2 linked regions of the Oreochromis niloticus genome follow. The protein of the gene in region 2 interacts with the protein of the main gene of each other region in a pairwise test. Links are inferred from orthologs where the notes say so. Each region holds a gene or a part of one and is shown on either strand. Other genes may lie near its edges.

Evidence for each region. The genes of interacting proteins can lie anywhere in the genome.
Region 1: the proteins of chchd2 (region 2) and lhx4 interact in binary tests that used the Homo sapiens proteins (3 or more experiments, as listed by UniProt). The two-hybrid records come from large-scale screens. The link is inferred for Oreochromis niloticus from reciprocal best matches to the Homo sapiens genes CHCHD2 and LHX4.

The regions. Positions count from the first base shown.
Region 1 is NC_031986.2:44,083,737-44,092,401, reverse strand, and holds the start of lhx4 (LIM/homeobox protein Lhx4), read right to left. Parts: upstream 3,334-8,665; 5' UTR 3,110-3,333; intron 1,378-3,109; 5' UTR 320-1,377; coding exon 1-319. UniProt on the Homo sapiens protein: May play a critical role in the development of respiratory control mechanisms and in the normal growth and maturation of the lung. Binds preferentially to methylated DNA.
Region 2 is NC_031979.2:20,060,395-20,068,466, reverse strand, and holds chchd2 (coiled-coil-helix-coiled-coil-helix domain-containing protein 2), read left to right. Parts: upstream 1-4,391; 5' UTR 4,392-4,512; coding exon 4,513-4,562; intron 4,563-5,513; coding exon 5,514-5,772; intron 5,773-6,580; coding exon 6,581-6,752; intron 6,753-7,231; coding exon 7,232-7,242; 3' UTR 7,243-7,579; downstream 7,580-8,072. UniProt on the Homo sapiens protein: Transcription factor. Binds to the oxygen responsive element of COX4I2 and activates its transcription under hypoxia conditions (4% oxygen), as well as normoxia conditions (20% oxygen).

The DNA.
Region 1 (8,665 bases), on a different chromosome or scaffold from region 2:
CGAGAATCTCCGGTAAACTCTTCACAGGACTCTCTGTCGGTAGGACCGCCGCACTTTGCATCATCGTGATCCAAACCGGGAGACAAGCGCACGCACATACACCCGCAAAACGGTGGGCGCACTCCCCCGTCCTGTCTCGTGGAGAAAACAAACAATGATGCTGATGTTGTTGGGCCTTTCTGCGGTTTGGAGGCTGATCTCTGTCGCTGTCCCGTCTAGCCTCTATTCCTGTTATTTCCCTTTTCCCGGGATGGTGTCCGTGCTGTGCCGTGCCGTGTTGAGCTGTTTTGGAGTGGATCAGACAGGCTGCTTGGTCCATTCAGCGCTGCAGGGGCGGCGGGGCCTGACGTCACCGCGGCAGAGGCTGACCGGGAGCCAATAGGAGAGCAGGAAGAGGAGGCCCCCCGAAGGCGGAAAGCATCCTCAGTAGGTGTACAAGGAAGAAGGAGAAAGGAGAGGAGCAGGGGAGTCTTACATGCTATATGACAAAGTCTCTGGAGAGGCGGGGCCTCGCTCCCGTGGAGACCATAAATAGCTCACTGCAGTGGCTTCCGGAGGGTCCCCGGGCAAGCAGGGCTCCTTTAGGAGAGGAGGAGAAGGGACCCGTGTAGCCAGGAAAATTAGAGTTCAGCTACATGACATTTTACTTTAGAAATAATCCATGAAGCAATAAAAAAGAAAGCGTGTCTGCTGTCCACGCAGATTTCCCTATGGATGGTCCAGACTGCAGTGTTGTTTCTTCAGCACCCACGTCTGTGACCAAATGCAATGCAAAAATTAACTTTTATAGAATATCAGCAGGTGGGATGGCGACATCAGTCAATTTAATGGAAGTAAACGCATTTTTCTTCATTTTTATTATTTGGTGATGGGATTGATTGGCCCTATAAAGATGCATGTAGGTACCATGAAAAGCATCCATGTCTTTAAAAAGAAGATGTAATCTGAGCTTTTACTTAAACTAAGGGAGCAAAAAAAAGGGAAAAATAATAAATGAAGCCACACCACAGAAGGAATATTATTGGACACGTCTGAGTCACATTCACAGCACCGTCACCTGTAGCCCTTTTCCCCGGCAGTGGCAGCTCCCGTGCAGCTGCTCTCTCAGTGACAGGTAGGATTAGGAGTCTGGGCGCAGTCCTCCTGACACTGCTCGTTTCAAACCCCATCGTCTGAGACTGCTCTCCCGGATAAGATATTCCCTCCGGAGGGCCGCTAGTTCAGGCTAGATGAACTCAATCTTCGCTTCCAATTTACTTCAAGCGTGGAAAGAAAAGCACACAGTGGCGCTTTGCCGCCGCGGTCCGCCTCCAAACCAGCGCAGGTTGTTTCCATCAACTCCAAGTCCGTCTGAGGGTCCCAGGTGATTGTTTGCAGCTCACACACACACACACACAATGTTCAACTACAACAAAGCCAGTAATTTTTCTTTATTCCAAAAACAAACAATAAATGAATGCATTTCCTTTTAGTTTATTTACCACTTGGCTATTTTAGGTGAGGTTTTAGTTCAAGTGGTGTATCAATTCGACCCAATTATACTCTTTAATATCCAACACATATTTTAGATATTCTATGATGTGACACAATATTTTGCACTAGTAATAGATCAAATCTAGCGGACTATTTTATTTGGCTTTGCAAATATCAGAAAAAAGGAGAACAAGCTCGGGCAAAGTAAATTTAAGTTGTCATATTATGCGTATTTTTCCCCTTTTTTGCCCCCAAACTGCTTCTATCTCTGTTTATTATTTATTTATTTATTTTATTTTTTATAGCCCCCCTATGGTGTTTGGACCCACAATCCCCTTCGCCTGTATGCGTGACGTTTCCAGATATAATTTAGTAAAATGAAAACGGACATCAGGATGATTAAAAGGCAGGCTGTGATATTACAGGAATTTTATCCATCCATCCATCCATCCATCAGTAACGTGCACGTGTGGCTAGGGGATCATATGGTCTCACTTTATTTTCATTATACACTTTTCCCCTCAAGATCATTCAATTTATTCGACTATTCAATTACTCTGATTGTTGGAATCGAGGCCCTTTAGCTGTCCTAGAAAACAATGCAGATAAAATGCTCTTAAACTGTCAGCAAAGGGCAACACAATTAGAATAATTGACGGATGCAAATGCAGCGAGAGAGAAGATACGAGCGTGCACATCTGGTTTAGTGGGACAGTAAATGATGAGGTGCGTTTTTCATCTTTAAATGAGATGGCAAGGCAACGTGGCTATTAGTCGACTGAATGATGTGCAAAACAATCCACATTTGGGGGGTGATCGTTTTGCATTTTACAAATATATTTATGCTGCACACAACGGTTAAAAAATAATAGTAATTGAAGTGTGAAATTACAGAGAAGACATATTTAATTTTATTATCCAAGGGGACTAAAACGGCTTCCGCTCTGTTAAATTTGCCCGGACAGTCAAATGAAGTTTAATTCGTAAACATTTTTAACACAAATCAGTAAAGATGTTTTTGATTTTTCTATTTTTATGATACATATTTCGAAGGAGGTTATTTATCTAAATGAATATAATCTTGAGAGCAGGCAGCTCTCGGACAATAACTCAAACAGAGGGCGACTCCTTTGCCACCGCCGTTGACCCAAGCACCTCTAATTAGATCTAATATTTCAGTGGATGAGTTCATTGTCACCAAAGCGCAAATCTGCGATTCATAGATCCATCTTAGTGAGAGCAGGGAGTCAGAATACAGAAGCACACCTATCTTATGTGATCAGGCTTTCATGGAGCGTGATTCATTTGTGGGATCAAACCCTGCAGCAGGCCTGGCTCATAACGAGCCACAGCAGAAAAAGATTCATTTGAGTGTTTATTAGTTTTGCGCATTTAAATGTATTATTTGAATGTTAGTCACACAAACCAAAGCGGATGTCAGCTGAGCACATTAGCAAATTTACCTCGCAATGATGATAACACGGTTCAGAGCACAAATTCAGATAAAATTCATCGCAGAGACAAATGCGTTATGTTCCAGTGACTTGCCTTCATGCAACACTTATACTTTAGAAGTGCGTAAATGTATTCTCGACTTCCAAGACGAATTACAGCCCAGCGCATCGTGCAGACCTACCTGGCAGTCTGTCTCCTCTCCGCGCTCCCTCCTCCTCCTCGCCTTCTTCTTCTCCTCCTCCATACCGCCGAAGCTCGTTTCAGCGGGGTGAGCCAGAGCTCGCAGGGAAACTGCAGCAGTCAGTCCACACTTTCTCCGGCGTCCACCCACAAAACAACATTAGGTAGCAGTGGCACCGTGTCCCCACGCATTTGGTCCGAAAGCAGGAAAGGAACAGAGAGAGGGAGAGAGGCAGAAAGCGAGGGGGAAACCTTAGGAGAGAGCTCGGAGGAGAAAATTAAATTGCACTTGGGGGGCAAATTCTATTAGGGAATAGTTATTGTCTCCTGACAGCTCCTGTCCATTTGGGTAATTAGTAGAAGAGATTGGTTGAACAAACGAAATCTATTCCCGTCAGAAATGATATTTTCCAATTCCCTGATTGAACCTGACCCTGTCGTGCTAAGACGAGGCGGTAATAGGCTCATTTGACTCGAATAACTACAACAGTTTAAGCCAAGCCTGCCCGCAGAAGGATTGGATTTTGCTTTATTTTCACGACACACTGATGAGGTTTACGGTTTTAACTGAAATACTATTGATATGGGGTTATTTATTTATGACAAGATAAAGACACACAAACAGGAACATTCAGCAGGATCTCTCTTTAACTGAAAGCCATTTTTAGTTAAATCATCCAGTTTCAATTATAAGTCCTGTGATGCACTGGCACCCGCCCAAGGTGCTGGGATAGACTCCCGACCCTCATGAACTTCATTAGATAAGCGTGGAAAGCAAATGGATATAAGGATGAATGAAAGCTGAGACCTGAAACTTAAGCTGCTCTTGCAAACCAGAGTGCAAAAAATAATCTGGATTCAGGTGAAACCTCCAGATGCAAAAATGATGTTAATGTGTGATTAGCAGAAGTCCACAGACCTGCAAAAACACATTACAGCTCCTACAAGATTACAGTTCCTCTGCAGTTCCTCCCAGAGAAGAAAAACAGGTCCTGTTGTTTTCTCTGCATCCTTAGATTGAAAATAGGCATTCTGAATTAGTTCGCATTTTCACCGTTTATGAAGCACACACAGCTAATGCATATCATTTAAAATACCAGACTGGTTTTGACCAAAATTATTGAATTAAACTTTTTTTTTTTTAATTTCAGCAAATAAAACCCAAAACAAAATAAAATGCATAAACTCCAGTGTTGTATTTTGATATTTCTATTTGAGATAACTATCAAAATCTGATTATTTTACTGCAGATGACTGATCATAACAAATTATACTCAATAAAAATGTGTGAAGGCCCGCATCCACAACCTAAAGATTTCCACAGAAAGCCAGTGTTGCATCTTTGATGCTCGGTGAAAGGAGCAGTGTTGGCTGAGTGAGTGAAAGCGGTGTGACTGACAAGTGTTGGCTCCTCTCCAACTTCATTATCCAAGCACTTCCTGTAAGCTATATGCTAACTCTGGAGGGGAAGGGGTGGGGGGAAAACAGGAGCAGAGCCCCGTTTCCCAAAATCATCTATAAGGTAGTGTCATTGTAAAGAAGTACAATGGGACCGAGATGATCCAGACTTAACGATGTTTTTGGGAAACTGAGCCCAGATCAGCAGAAGTGAAGGTCAGGGTTGTGTTGTCATGCAAATGATGCAGTGACGTGAACTCACAAGTTTAAGTCCTGAAAGTTAAATTATGAGATTAAACAAGCATGACGCAGTGAAAGTGATTATATTGGAGGAGTTTAAAAGTAGTTACTTAAAATGATATAAAACCCATGGCTGCAGAACATTTATTAATGTGGAATGAATCACAAATTCATTCGACTAAGACAAACGCATCGACCTGGGTGTATTTCACAGTTTCATCTGGTGTAACTCTGGTGTTGTGCTGGTTATGCTGGTTGTGCTGGTTATGCTGGTTGTACTGGTTATGCTGGTTGTGCTGGTTATGCTGGTTGTGCTGGTTATGCTGGTTGTACTGGTACGGGGTCTTTGGGAGCAATTTCCAAAACAAAAACTCATAATCTGTGCTCATTCATCAGCCTTTAATTTGAGTGAACTGACAGAAGTATGTTATTGCATAAACCTTGTTACAGGCTGCATGAACACTCACTGAGATGTTTGGGGATCTGGGCAGATGAGCGTCCACATGAAAGGGGGAGGGACTGCAGCAGAGAAATGAGATGGGTCTGACCCTGCGTGACTCCTGCGTTTAAAAGGCTGCATGTTTAAAACCCGAAAGGGGATCTGGCTTAGTTAGGATGCAATGTATACCAATACCATATATTAACCTCTTTTTCATAATTTATTCACCCCAACCCAACCCACCCCACTCCACCCCACACCCGCATTCTCCCTCTATCCACAGCAGGAAGCTTTATAGTATTATTAAAGTCAGAAAGAGAGATGACAGAAAAATGCATCAAGCCCCTCCTGCATTTTAATATCAATACCGGCGGGGTAATAAACATCGAGGCAGAGAGCGTACAGGAGACGAGTGACTATAAAACTCTGCATTGTCTAATTTATGGAAGACAGCAACAGGGCAGGAAGGTGAGGTTTTTACCCTTCAGTCAGTGGTTTCATAACGCAACTTTGTCTCAGTTCAAAGCATCAGTTTTAGACAAAACACACAAAAAAGTTTAGAAGAAAGTAATCAGCTCGTATTACTCCAAGAAGATATACGGTGGCAAGGTATGCAGGCAAAGCTACGCCATGACAGTCTCACCTTAAGCTCCATTTGCTGGCTGTTTTTGCAGTTTGTATGGTTGCTTTTACAAGCATTTGTTGTCTTTGACCTTGAAAACACAAACAGATTTGTAACAAGGTCAATCGGCAACAATGCAAACTGAACAAACTGAGGTTTTCAGATGTTGGTGGACTGCAGAAAGCTTCCTGTCACACAAGTCAAAGAAAAACATGTAGATGAGTGAAAACACAACAACTGCAGATTAATCTGTACAGGGATTTATGTTTCCTTCCAGTCTGCGTGCGAAAGAAATGATTATTTCTGAGCCTTCTTTTAATGCGATTTACTCTTTTCAGCGTTAAATATGAAAGGACAGGCAACAACACATGAACAAACACTAACAGTTGGAGTAATTCACTGATGAGGCCAAACTACTATCATGTCTGTCCATCACATATGAATCCACCCGTGTACAGCTTTATATTAAACTGCAGCTACCATATGGATGGTTTTCAATAACCATAACTAACACTCACTAATTAGTTATGTCTTGTTTAATTTCCACAAAGTGATAAAATAAGACGCCGATAAGACAGGCTCATGGTGATAACCCTTATTTTGCGAGATTTGTGCCCAGCTTTAATAAAAACATACTTTTTTTTAATTAAAGCTGCTTGTTGGTTGTTAATCTGTGGCTTAGTTGACTCCATTACAGTAGCAGTGTGGACTGTGTTTACCTTTATGCATAAGCACCTACACAGGTCATGAGGGCAAAGCACTGGCCCAACACACACTCTACACACACTAACTATATTCATACTATCACATAACTGACATTTTGTGGTGTGTGTGAACTCGATTAAACGGTGTAAAGAGTGCAAACAGCTTCGAATGTGTCCTAATTTAGATTTGAAGCCTCTGTCCTCAGTGTGAACTGCTCACCTCAGCCTTGGCGAAGCTGCAGACAGATATTACACTGCTGCCAACTTCCTCATTAACCATCATTAGTCTGAACCAGCATAACACTTGCAGCTCACTGAAGCTCAAGACACCTGATAAAGGGCTTCTGTAGCGTGAGCAGCACAAAGCATGGCTGACGCCAATCCTCTAACAAACACAGGTAAACGTTTAAACAGATTAACTGATCGCATGTGCGGGAGAAAAGTGCTTAAGAAAAACAATGTTTCCAAGATTTTCATGATGTGCAAAAAGTTTAAGGATACAGAATTCCTGCTTCACTCTGATGGTCTTCCATCCCAGCCGATATTTAAAAAAAGTGTCATGATGCACTGGATAAAAGGCATAAATAAATACCTTAAGGAAGATTTCTTGTGATGAACTGCTTTTCTCGATCCAGTCTGGCAATCATAATGTGTCATTGAGGATCTAATTGAAAGTACCTGAGAGTTTGATTAAGTCACACAACCACAGCTGCTCAGCTGTGATGCTCCTCTGCTTTAATGTGGGGCTATTAATCACCCTATTGTGTGTGTGTGTGTGTGTGTGTGTGTGTGTGTGTGTGTGTGTGTGTGTGTGTGTGTGTGTGTGAGTGAGGGAGGGAGAGAGAAATTGACTGCCTCAACTCACCTATGTCATCATCAAAACTGCAAAGGCTGAACACATGGTTTGGATGACGGGATAGAGCGGGCTATAGGATAAGATCAGAGGGTTTATCCACGTATGCGTTGGTGACAGGTTGGAAGGTGGAGGTAAGGGGCAGGAGTCGAGGGAATTCAAGCTGGCGTTCCAGGAAACACAAAGCTCAAGATCAAGCTTTGGTTGTCCTTCAGCTGTGCTGGTTGTGATCTCAACATCAAACCCTCATCCTCCATCCATCCATCCATTTATCCCCCACCCCCCCCCACACACACACACACAGTACTCCTTTCATCCACCCCTCATCCCATCATGTTACCGCCCCTGAGGGTCCGCCGTTGCCCTTCCCCAGCAGAGCCCACCTCTAAGTGTGTGTGTGTGAGGATGGAAGAAGCCTCACAAAAGCCGATTGCATTTTAATAAAGTTTATTATCTGCTGGGAGCTAATCCTCAAGGGTAATCTCTCCTCTCTAGTCCTAAAGGAAAGCTGGATTACTCACTTGCTATAATCCCAATGAAATTGTTAGGATTTAGCTTGCGCTGCACAGCAGATGGCAACAGGCTTTTTCCTTCAACCTTGCATGGTTTAACCCCCATTTCTACATTTCTACATCCTTCTTGCCATGTCCTGATTGTTTTTTGTTTTGACCTAGAACAACAGGAAGTCATTTTCAAACCTGTAACAAAAACATATTTCGACATTAAAGACAACACAGACGGCATTTACGATCACATGTTTAACATGACCGGCACTTCAGAACAAGGAAACAAAAGACGAAAATCCTTATCAAAAATAATTTTATTGATTCCGACCAAAGCAAATGGAAACATCGAAGAAGAGCAGCGCTTCATCATTCATGACCCCAGCCAAGAAAACAAAAACAAAACAATCCTGATTAATCCAAATCCTCGTCCAGTGTCAACATATTCCTCACTTCACTTCAAGAACCAGAGTGGCTATTACGTGGACTCAGTGTGATGTAATATTCACAGACATTATGTCAAGCTCAAGTGTAATTTGGACCAACGCAGCTCATCTGCTTCTCTCTGGTCGAGTCACAGTTTTCAGCAATAATTTAAGATTCAACACGACTGCTCTGAATCACTCAAAGTTCATTTAACCGTTAGTGCGTGTGAATTCACAACATTGTGACTGAAATGAAAAAAAAAAAAAGCAACCAAAACAAATGTGACTAAATTCCCAGCCACACGACACCATTAAGGAGGGAATCTGACAGGAAACAAAAGCAGTAAATTTAAAAATCCACCAAAAGTGAAAG
Region 2 (8,072 bases):
GTTGGAGCTGCAGTGTAATGATACACTCAAGGGAAAGTAAGACACTGAATGGCCCGAAGAGTTTATTAGTTCCATTCCTGAAGCAATGCCCCAGCTCCGTCTAGATGCGGCTCCAACCTTGTGTATGCTGTCATTTATTTTTTCTGTGGTTTTTGGCAGCATGTTCATATTTCTAACTTGCATAATTTTCACAGGATATATTTTTATGAAGAGCAAAATATTTAAAGTTAAAGTTTATTTTTTTTAAGTTTATTTAATCTGGAATAATATTCCTGTCTGTTTTTTATTCATATTTATGTTTAAAAAATATTGTTTTAGTGTGTAAATATTTATCTTGTTTGGCCCGCGACCTAAAGTGTGCCTTGAGTTTTGGCCCCCTGTGCGATTGAGTTTGACACCCCTGACTTAAAGCATTAAAAACTTTCACAGGTTGGCTGACAGTTAAACACCAGTGCATCATTTCAGACCCACCACTGAGTTGAGTGAATATTAAAGTTACAGTTTACAGCCTGCAGTGCACTCGTCAGGACATCAGCTGTTGGTGGTGAGCGGAGAATCTGGGTCTGGTTGCACAACTGCTCCCTGCTCTCTTAGCTGCTCTTACAAAGGTTAAGAAACAGGACACTCTGATCTATTTGCTGCAATTCCAGACACTCACAGTACACTGACCTTTCAAATAGACTTCTCAGAAGGCATCGGATCATTAGCAGCGCAAAATGCCAAGTGTCTAATGAAACTGTGCATCGCTGGATAGTTTTGTTCAGTCGGTAAAGACGTAATGGGCTTCTTCCATTAGGCTGGAGATCTACTTGACCCAGCAGCACTTAATCTAAATGTGCTCAATTAATGTCTAAATGCATAATACTTTAATTATGCTATAGATGTTCCCTAAAGATGGATGTTAAATTAAAGGAAAAACCTAATCTCTTGAGTGAGGGGATCTTGTGGCTCTGTTATGCTGACGGGGAACATTGGCATAGTTTGTACTGAGTTTCTCAAATCAATACAATGCTGTTCAAAGTAATGTAATATTTCTAGCGGGATGTAGACCTCTCTTCCAGGGTGAGATCTCCATCCACAGGGCATGAGAGACTGTCATCATTTTCATCTTCAAACTGAAGGAGGGTGGATGTGTGTTCATGCAGGAGTGATTGCAAGTTAGGCATTCCCTGATTCATCATCTTTTTCTTTTGTTTAAATCCTACTTGGTGCCGTAATTGATAAAATCAATGCCATGCTGCAGTAAATAGGACTTAAAACTGCTGACTGAGATGATAAATTCATTAGGAAGGCTCATAAATTTAGTGAGAACCCATTTGTCTAATGTCGTCTTGCAAACAGAGGATTTCCCATTAGGAGAAAAAAAAAAGTAGTTTTACTTCACTCTTTAGACCTATAGGCTGTGTTGAATCTTTATATACAGTAAATGTCTGTTACTGTCTGCAAGATCACTGCGTTATTAGGACAACACTGACATCGTGTGGTCTGACTGAACTGCAACAGACTACTTTTATGTCAGTCGGCTTTAGGCCATCGTCAGAGCATGTGCTGGTGACGCAGAAGATAAATATCGGACATCTCCATTCAGTCCATCCTTTATTTACAGGAGCGCAGTGCTGCGCTGGTTTCGGCACCTAATCTTGCGTCCCTCATTGGCTCCTCCCAAGTGTCTCCATCTCTGCTGCTCGCTGCCAGAGAGGATCAGTCCTTCATTGACCCGGTCAAAGCTGGAACAAGCACCTCTGTTTACAAGGTACAATCATGAATGTGTCTGTGATCCTTAATGAAGATGCCTCTGACTCCAGCTAAGTAAACATTTTCTTTTTCTTTTCTTACTTTTTTTGTTGTTGTTTTTTTTACTGTTGTCACTAGACGTTGATGGGCAGTGTGCCAGACAGAGGAGGACGACCTGGGGAAATTGAGCCTCCTATGCCAGCATGGACAGGGAGACGCTCGAAAGGCAGCAGAGGGGGATGGGGAGGCGGACAATCTCATAAGCATAAGAAGAAGAAAGGGAAAAAAGATTAACTTGTCCATCTTTTTGGCCTTACTCATCAATTTAAGAAATAAGTGATCATTTTGCTTTATTGAAATCCTTGTTGCGAGGTAAACTACGATTGGGAAGTGCTGTATATAATTTTGTAGTTATAAATCTGTGTATAATTTATAGTTATAAGTCATGCACATACCAGATTGTGTACATTTCTATAAAAGCAATGAAGTACTGGTACATGACCAGATATTTTGGTAAAAGAGCAGAAAATGGAAAAAATGTTGGCTTTCCACATTTATCAGTAGGTTTGTTTAAGAATAAACCTCTGAAACACACATCTATTGGTATTTTGTGCAATTTACATAAAGCATTTTTTAAGGATTATTGCATGAATATTTTATGCTCACTTCACATTTTGGAGACAAGAGTTCCTCTTGCCTTTTTTAGGTGATTTCATAAGATAGCAAACATGTTTATGTGGAATGAAAAAGCCTCACTTACATCTTAAAAAACTAAAAGGACCAGTCGGTGAAGGGTGACTTTGAATATCTAAGAATGTTGTTTTATTGTTACACATTAACCAAGACTCACTTCCCCCTGAGAGAACTCCTTGGTACAGCATTGAGTCATCTCTCTAGTCCCAGTGTTTCCACTTCAAAGTCTAAACTGCCTAAAGAAGGAAAAGATCATCCAAATATTAATTATCTTAAATATATTTGGAATAAACTGGTTTCAATGTTTAATTTTGATCTTGCCAAACCCAAAGTTGTGCTAAGGTAAAGCTCATTTTGACCAGAAGTTCTAGTAGTCCACAGTGATGTATTGAAATAATTTCAAGATCTTGTACACCAGTTTAATAAACAACAGTTTCAATTGTTTTATTATCTGAAACTCCACCCTCAACCATCTGAATTCTGCAGATAGTTATGGATTAGATTAAGTACCTGTGAACTTTAGGAAATGGTATTTTAACATCTGTCTTTTCTTCTCTGTTGATTCAGAGCCTGGACAAAAAGGCCTCTTGAATTTTCAAAAAAAAAAAAAAAAACATGAGAAAGTGGTTTAAGTCTGAAATTGGATGAGAAAGCGTGAGAAAGGACTTCTAGGAATACTGAAGTAACGGCTGATGCAAAGAACATCTTGATCAATTTAAGATTATGAATTGCTTTTAACAAGCTGGGACCACATCCTTATTTAAGTTTGATAACAGCAGATTGAGAAAGCACAAATTGAAGCTGCGGTTTGGGAACGGCCTCAGAGGGGACTGGCAGCAGATCCCAGGCCAGGCAGATCTAATGAGAAGTGACTGAATTGGGAAAAAAAGGAGAGAAGTGTTGGGCATGAAAATGAGTACAAACAGCTTGTGGCGCAGGAGGCATATACCAGTGCATGAGGTGTGGTCCTGCACCTGAAATTCAGATAAATTATCTCCAGTTATTGGACACCATACAAGTTTTGAGAATAGGGGTGAAAGATGCAAATATATACTTTGCTAAAGAGCTTCTGATTTCTTTCCACTGTTCTGCAGTGATGGACACAACATGTGGGGCAGAGTTGAAGTTCCGATTTTAATTGGGAGTAACCAGAATTGACAAGATTAGAGGTGATTGTTTCAGAAGGACAGCTTGTGTTCAGCAGCTGGAGACAAAGTTAGAGAGGTAAGGCTGAAAAGGTTTGGACATGTGCAGAGGAGGGATAGTGTATCTCCAAAAGTTGAATCTGTTCATCTGGACGTAGCGTCCAGATGAACAGATTCAACTTTTGGAGATTTACTTTCCTGGATGATTGAGAATGCATCAAGAAGGGATAGTGTATGTTGAAGATAGAGGTGCCAGGCAGGAGGAGACATGGAAGATTCATGGATGATATCTGATTTAGAGAAACTAAATCACATGCAAACAATAATTAACTTATTTTATGACACACATGCGTTTAAATGTGTTATTTTCTTCTTATTTAAAGTTCTGAATAAACCTTATGCAGCATTTCGTGGGTAAAAATACATACATATATATAAAAATACACACACACACACACACACACACACACACACACATACATATATATATATATATATATATATATATATATATATATATATATATATATATATACACACACACACACACAGTTTAAAGGACAAAGAAATACATATGAAGCACAATGTGAGACGACCTTGATCCTACAATATGAAAGATGTAAATAATATTATATGACAATATCAAAAACCGGAGTTCAATTTTTTAAGACAAATATTGAATAAAGCAAAACCGTTTAAGACTTTGTTGATGGCACAGAAAACAATTCTAACCTAGGTGAACAACGTAATGCGTTACACAACACTCACCTGGCGGAATCGTCCTTGTTGTGTATCCTGCACACCGGAAGTTACTCGGGAGACAAATGATGTAACACGAGGAAAGTTCCGGATTGTCTAAAGGTCGCTGAATATAAAGCGGCGTGACAGCGTCAGTGTGTTTTTATTTAAACCCGCAGGTAAACTGATCTAAGTGTTCAAAATGCCGAGAGGAAGCAGAAGCCGGACGTCGAGGATGCCCCCTCCAGCCAGGTAACACTTAGGGTTTAATTCCCCCTTTTTAAAGAAAGGTAGAGTAGATATTTTTAGTTAGCACAAATGCTAACGTTTAGGTAATGTCATAGTGCCGTATGTTAGCTAGGAAAGTGCAGGTCATGAGGTGCTTCAAGTAGCTTATAAAGATAATTTCAATTTAAACCTTAATTGCTGGTTAATCTGGGTATTGCTCAGAAAGTTACTGTGTTATGAAAATGATGAAGGTCATTGTCTTTATCGTGGTTTCCTCTGTAAAAATCCCCACATGCTAGCGAAGCCAGTAGAGTTGCATCAGCTTCTATAGTTTTTCTTCTAACCTGCAGCTAAACTGAGACTTTATTCTTCCGAGTTATAATTAAATAAGTCGCACAAGGGTTGGAAGTATTTCTTTCTCTTCTCCTTGTGGGAAGTATAATCCCTCTGTGCCCTCATTTCTCTTTCACTAAATATATCTGAAACTAAGCTGAATATATAGCTGAAACTAAGAATTGCAAGAACACTTTTGACTCTTGGTGCTTAATAATTTGTGCCAATGTCTCCACCTGTAAGGCCAAGCTGCATAGGGAAAGACTGATTATTTTCCACAGTGACATGTTGTTTAAAGTTCACTTTGGGCACAGGTGGGCTTACTTTATCCAGCTACAGGATAACACTTTTTCTTAGCAAGTGAAGAACAGATCCCAGGAGGAGACGCAAATCCCTTCGTGGTTGCATCAAGAAGAGCAGCTGAATATTATTCTCGCCTGTGAATAAGTGATCAGCTGAAAGTAGCTCTTTGTTGTCTTACTAGTGTGGAGATATTCTCCGAATCAGAGCTTCACCTTTATCTAAGCTTTCATAAACCTTTGCAGTGAGTCAGAGTAAAAGCTTGAATAACAGATGTCAGCTCATATCTGTTTTTGATTGTGTTTGGACTAAAAAGGTCTTAACAAAACGTTTTTGTTACAGCCGGGCTCCACCATCCCCACCACCTATGGCCCGGGCTGCTCCCCCTCCCTCCTACGCCCCGGCTCCGATGCAGGTGCCTCCGTCCGCTGTCGGCACGCCAGCCGCAGCGCCCAGGCAGCCGGGTATGTTTGCCCAGATGGCATCTACAGCCGCTGGGGTGGCAGTAGGCTCCGCGGTAGGCCACACAATCGGCCACGCCATGACTGGAGGTTTCAGCGGAGGACACTCGGAGCCTGCCAAGCCTGACGTCACATACCAGGTAAGCCCAGGTTTAGCCAGCCACAGGACTGGAACAGTTTCAAGGAAGATTAGGGTGTCTGAGACATGGTATGCAGGGCCTTTGCACCACGGAGCAGGTGAAAAACAAACACCACATTTTATGTAACGCATGGATGCAGTTACATGCACTGTGGTAGCTCAGTATAATAACAGCCAGATGGAAACAATACTGTGAATATTGAGACTTTTAACTAAAAGCAGTGAAGGAATCATCTTGCTTTCATTAAGACTCTTGAGTGCAATCAGTGCTGGTTGATTAGAGATGAATTACTCCCTCTGCTCAATCTGGGTTTGTTTTTTTGTTCTGGTTTTTTATGTGTACACACATGTGATCAGGGTGTTTTGAAAATACAGACACAGCTGCTGAAGGAAAACCTCAGTTATGAAAAAGTCCAAAGGCCAAATGTGGTTTATTTACATTCACACAAGTGCAGGGAAATATGCATAATGATGTTTGTCTCATTAACCCTGAACCCAGTACATCACTATTATCTTTATGCAGTTACATTCATAGTAGATTTTAAGATATGAGTGATGACCAGTCATTTACTCTGCTTTTCTTTATGACAAAAAGGACTGAGAAACCACACGCACTTGAGCAGATTGAGGATTGCAGTTTTAGATATTTCAGCATTTTTATCGATAGATGTGTAAATATATTTACTTTGTGTCATTGATGGAAGATATTCCATCTTTTTGATACAAAACTGAAACTCGTTCTGACACTTTAAAATCTGTTTTGGTCTTTAACACACATATGATTTAATCCTCTGGCTTGTGTATATTAGGAGCCATACCAGGCCCAGCCCATGTACCAGCAGGGGGCCCCTCAGCAGCAGCAACAGCAGCAGGCCTGCTCCTACGAGCTCAGGCAGTTCGTCGAGTGCGCCCAAAACCAGAGCGACCTCAAGCTCTGCGAGGGCTTCAGTGAGGTGCTCAAACAGTGCAGGTTTGCTAATGGTGAGTGAAACATGTCCAGGCTTTGTATAAAAAGAGACTGCTGTGTCTTATAGTCGTTGCTTTTAATCATTATTAGTAATTTGATTTATTTAAAGTGAGTGTAGTTACAAAATGCTAGCTAAACACTTACTACGCATGAGGGGTAGACGCATAAGCTGTTGCACATTTTCAGCATGCTCCTGTGCTCCACATAAAATTCTGTTTAAGTACTGGATCTTCCTCATGCATATCAAATAGATCGAAATCAGGCTGTTGCTTTTTCAGTCTCATTTTTCTCTTTTTAAATGGAGTTTAACCCAGCAAGCATCGAGGCTTTGAATGAGCCCTTAGTCGCTCACATATCAAAGCCAAATGACTTTGCACTATTCTAAACTCCTGTAATACCCAGTGTGGCCATAAGGGGGAGCCTTAGTCTAAGTATGTTAAGTCAGTTTAAACCATTTAAAGTATTAACTGTCCTGGTTTCTCTGTTTCTACAGGTCTATCATGAGAAAAGACGCTATCTGCAGAATGAAGATCACATCTCCTTATTAAAGATACTGGGAGGGTGTAATTCACAATCAATAAACATGTTTTAATGATCAATTGTCATCGGACAGCCTCATTTCTCAGACTGCTGCAGAGCTTGTAATCATAGTCTTATAAATAATGTTTATATATTTTGGTTTTAGGTTTTAGTTCATGTTTGAGGTTTATTTTCAGTTGTCAGTGCGTGCTTTTAATTTAAATCCCGTCTCTCATGTCAAGACTTATAGAGAGAAAAAAGGCCACTTTCACCTTCTGGCTGCTGCGGTTTGATTCAGACTAATAAAACACTTGAATTAAAACGAGACTCTGTGATTTTTTTTTTGTTCCAAGTCTCCTCCTCATATGCGCTCTGTATTATTACATTGAAGCGTTTCTGTTTTCACCTGCGTTTTCTTTAATTAGACTTCAGCAGCTACAAAGGGGTGTCCCGCACCTGTCCTGTCACTCTGCTCTCAGCGCAAAATTCACGAGCTGCAACCTGCGCGTGAAGTAATGTTTTGACTCTAAAAGCGTCGTGGCGAGAGCACGAGCCGCAGGGTATTATTTCATGGATGGGGTTTTTGTGAGGACTCATTCAGGGTGTCCTTCTGCTCCTTCTGCATCTGCCGAAGCAAATAGTTATTTTTGGCACCTGACATTAAAGCTCACCCTCTGCAGCATGGCAGCAGCAGACCCGCAAACGCGCCATAGCGCCGGAGTCTGACTGCAGCTCTTTGTTCGTCCTCAGAAACTCACTGTGCGCGATTTGATGATGGATTGTCTTCGTATCAGGGACTGACGGACACGGTGAGG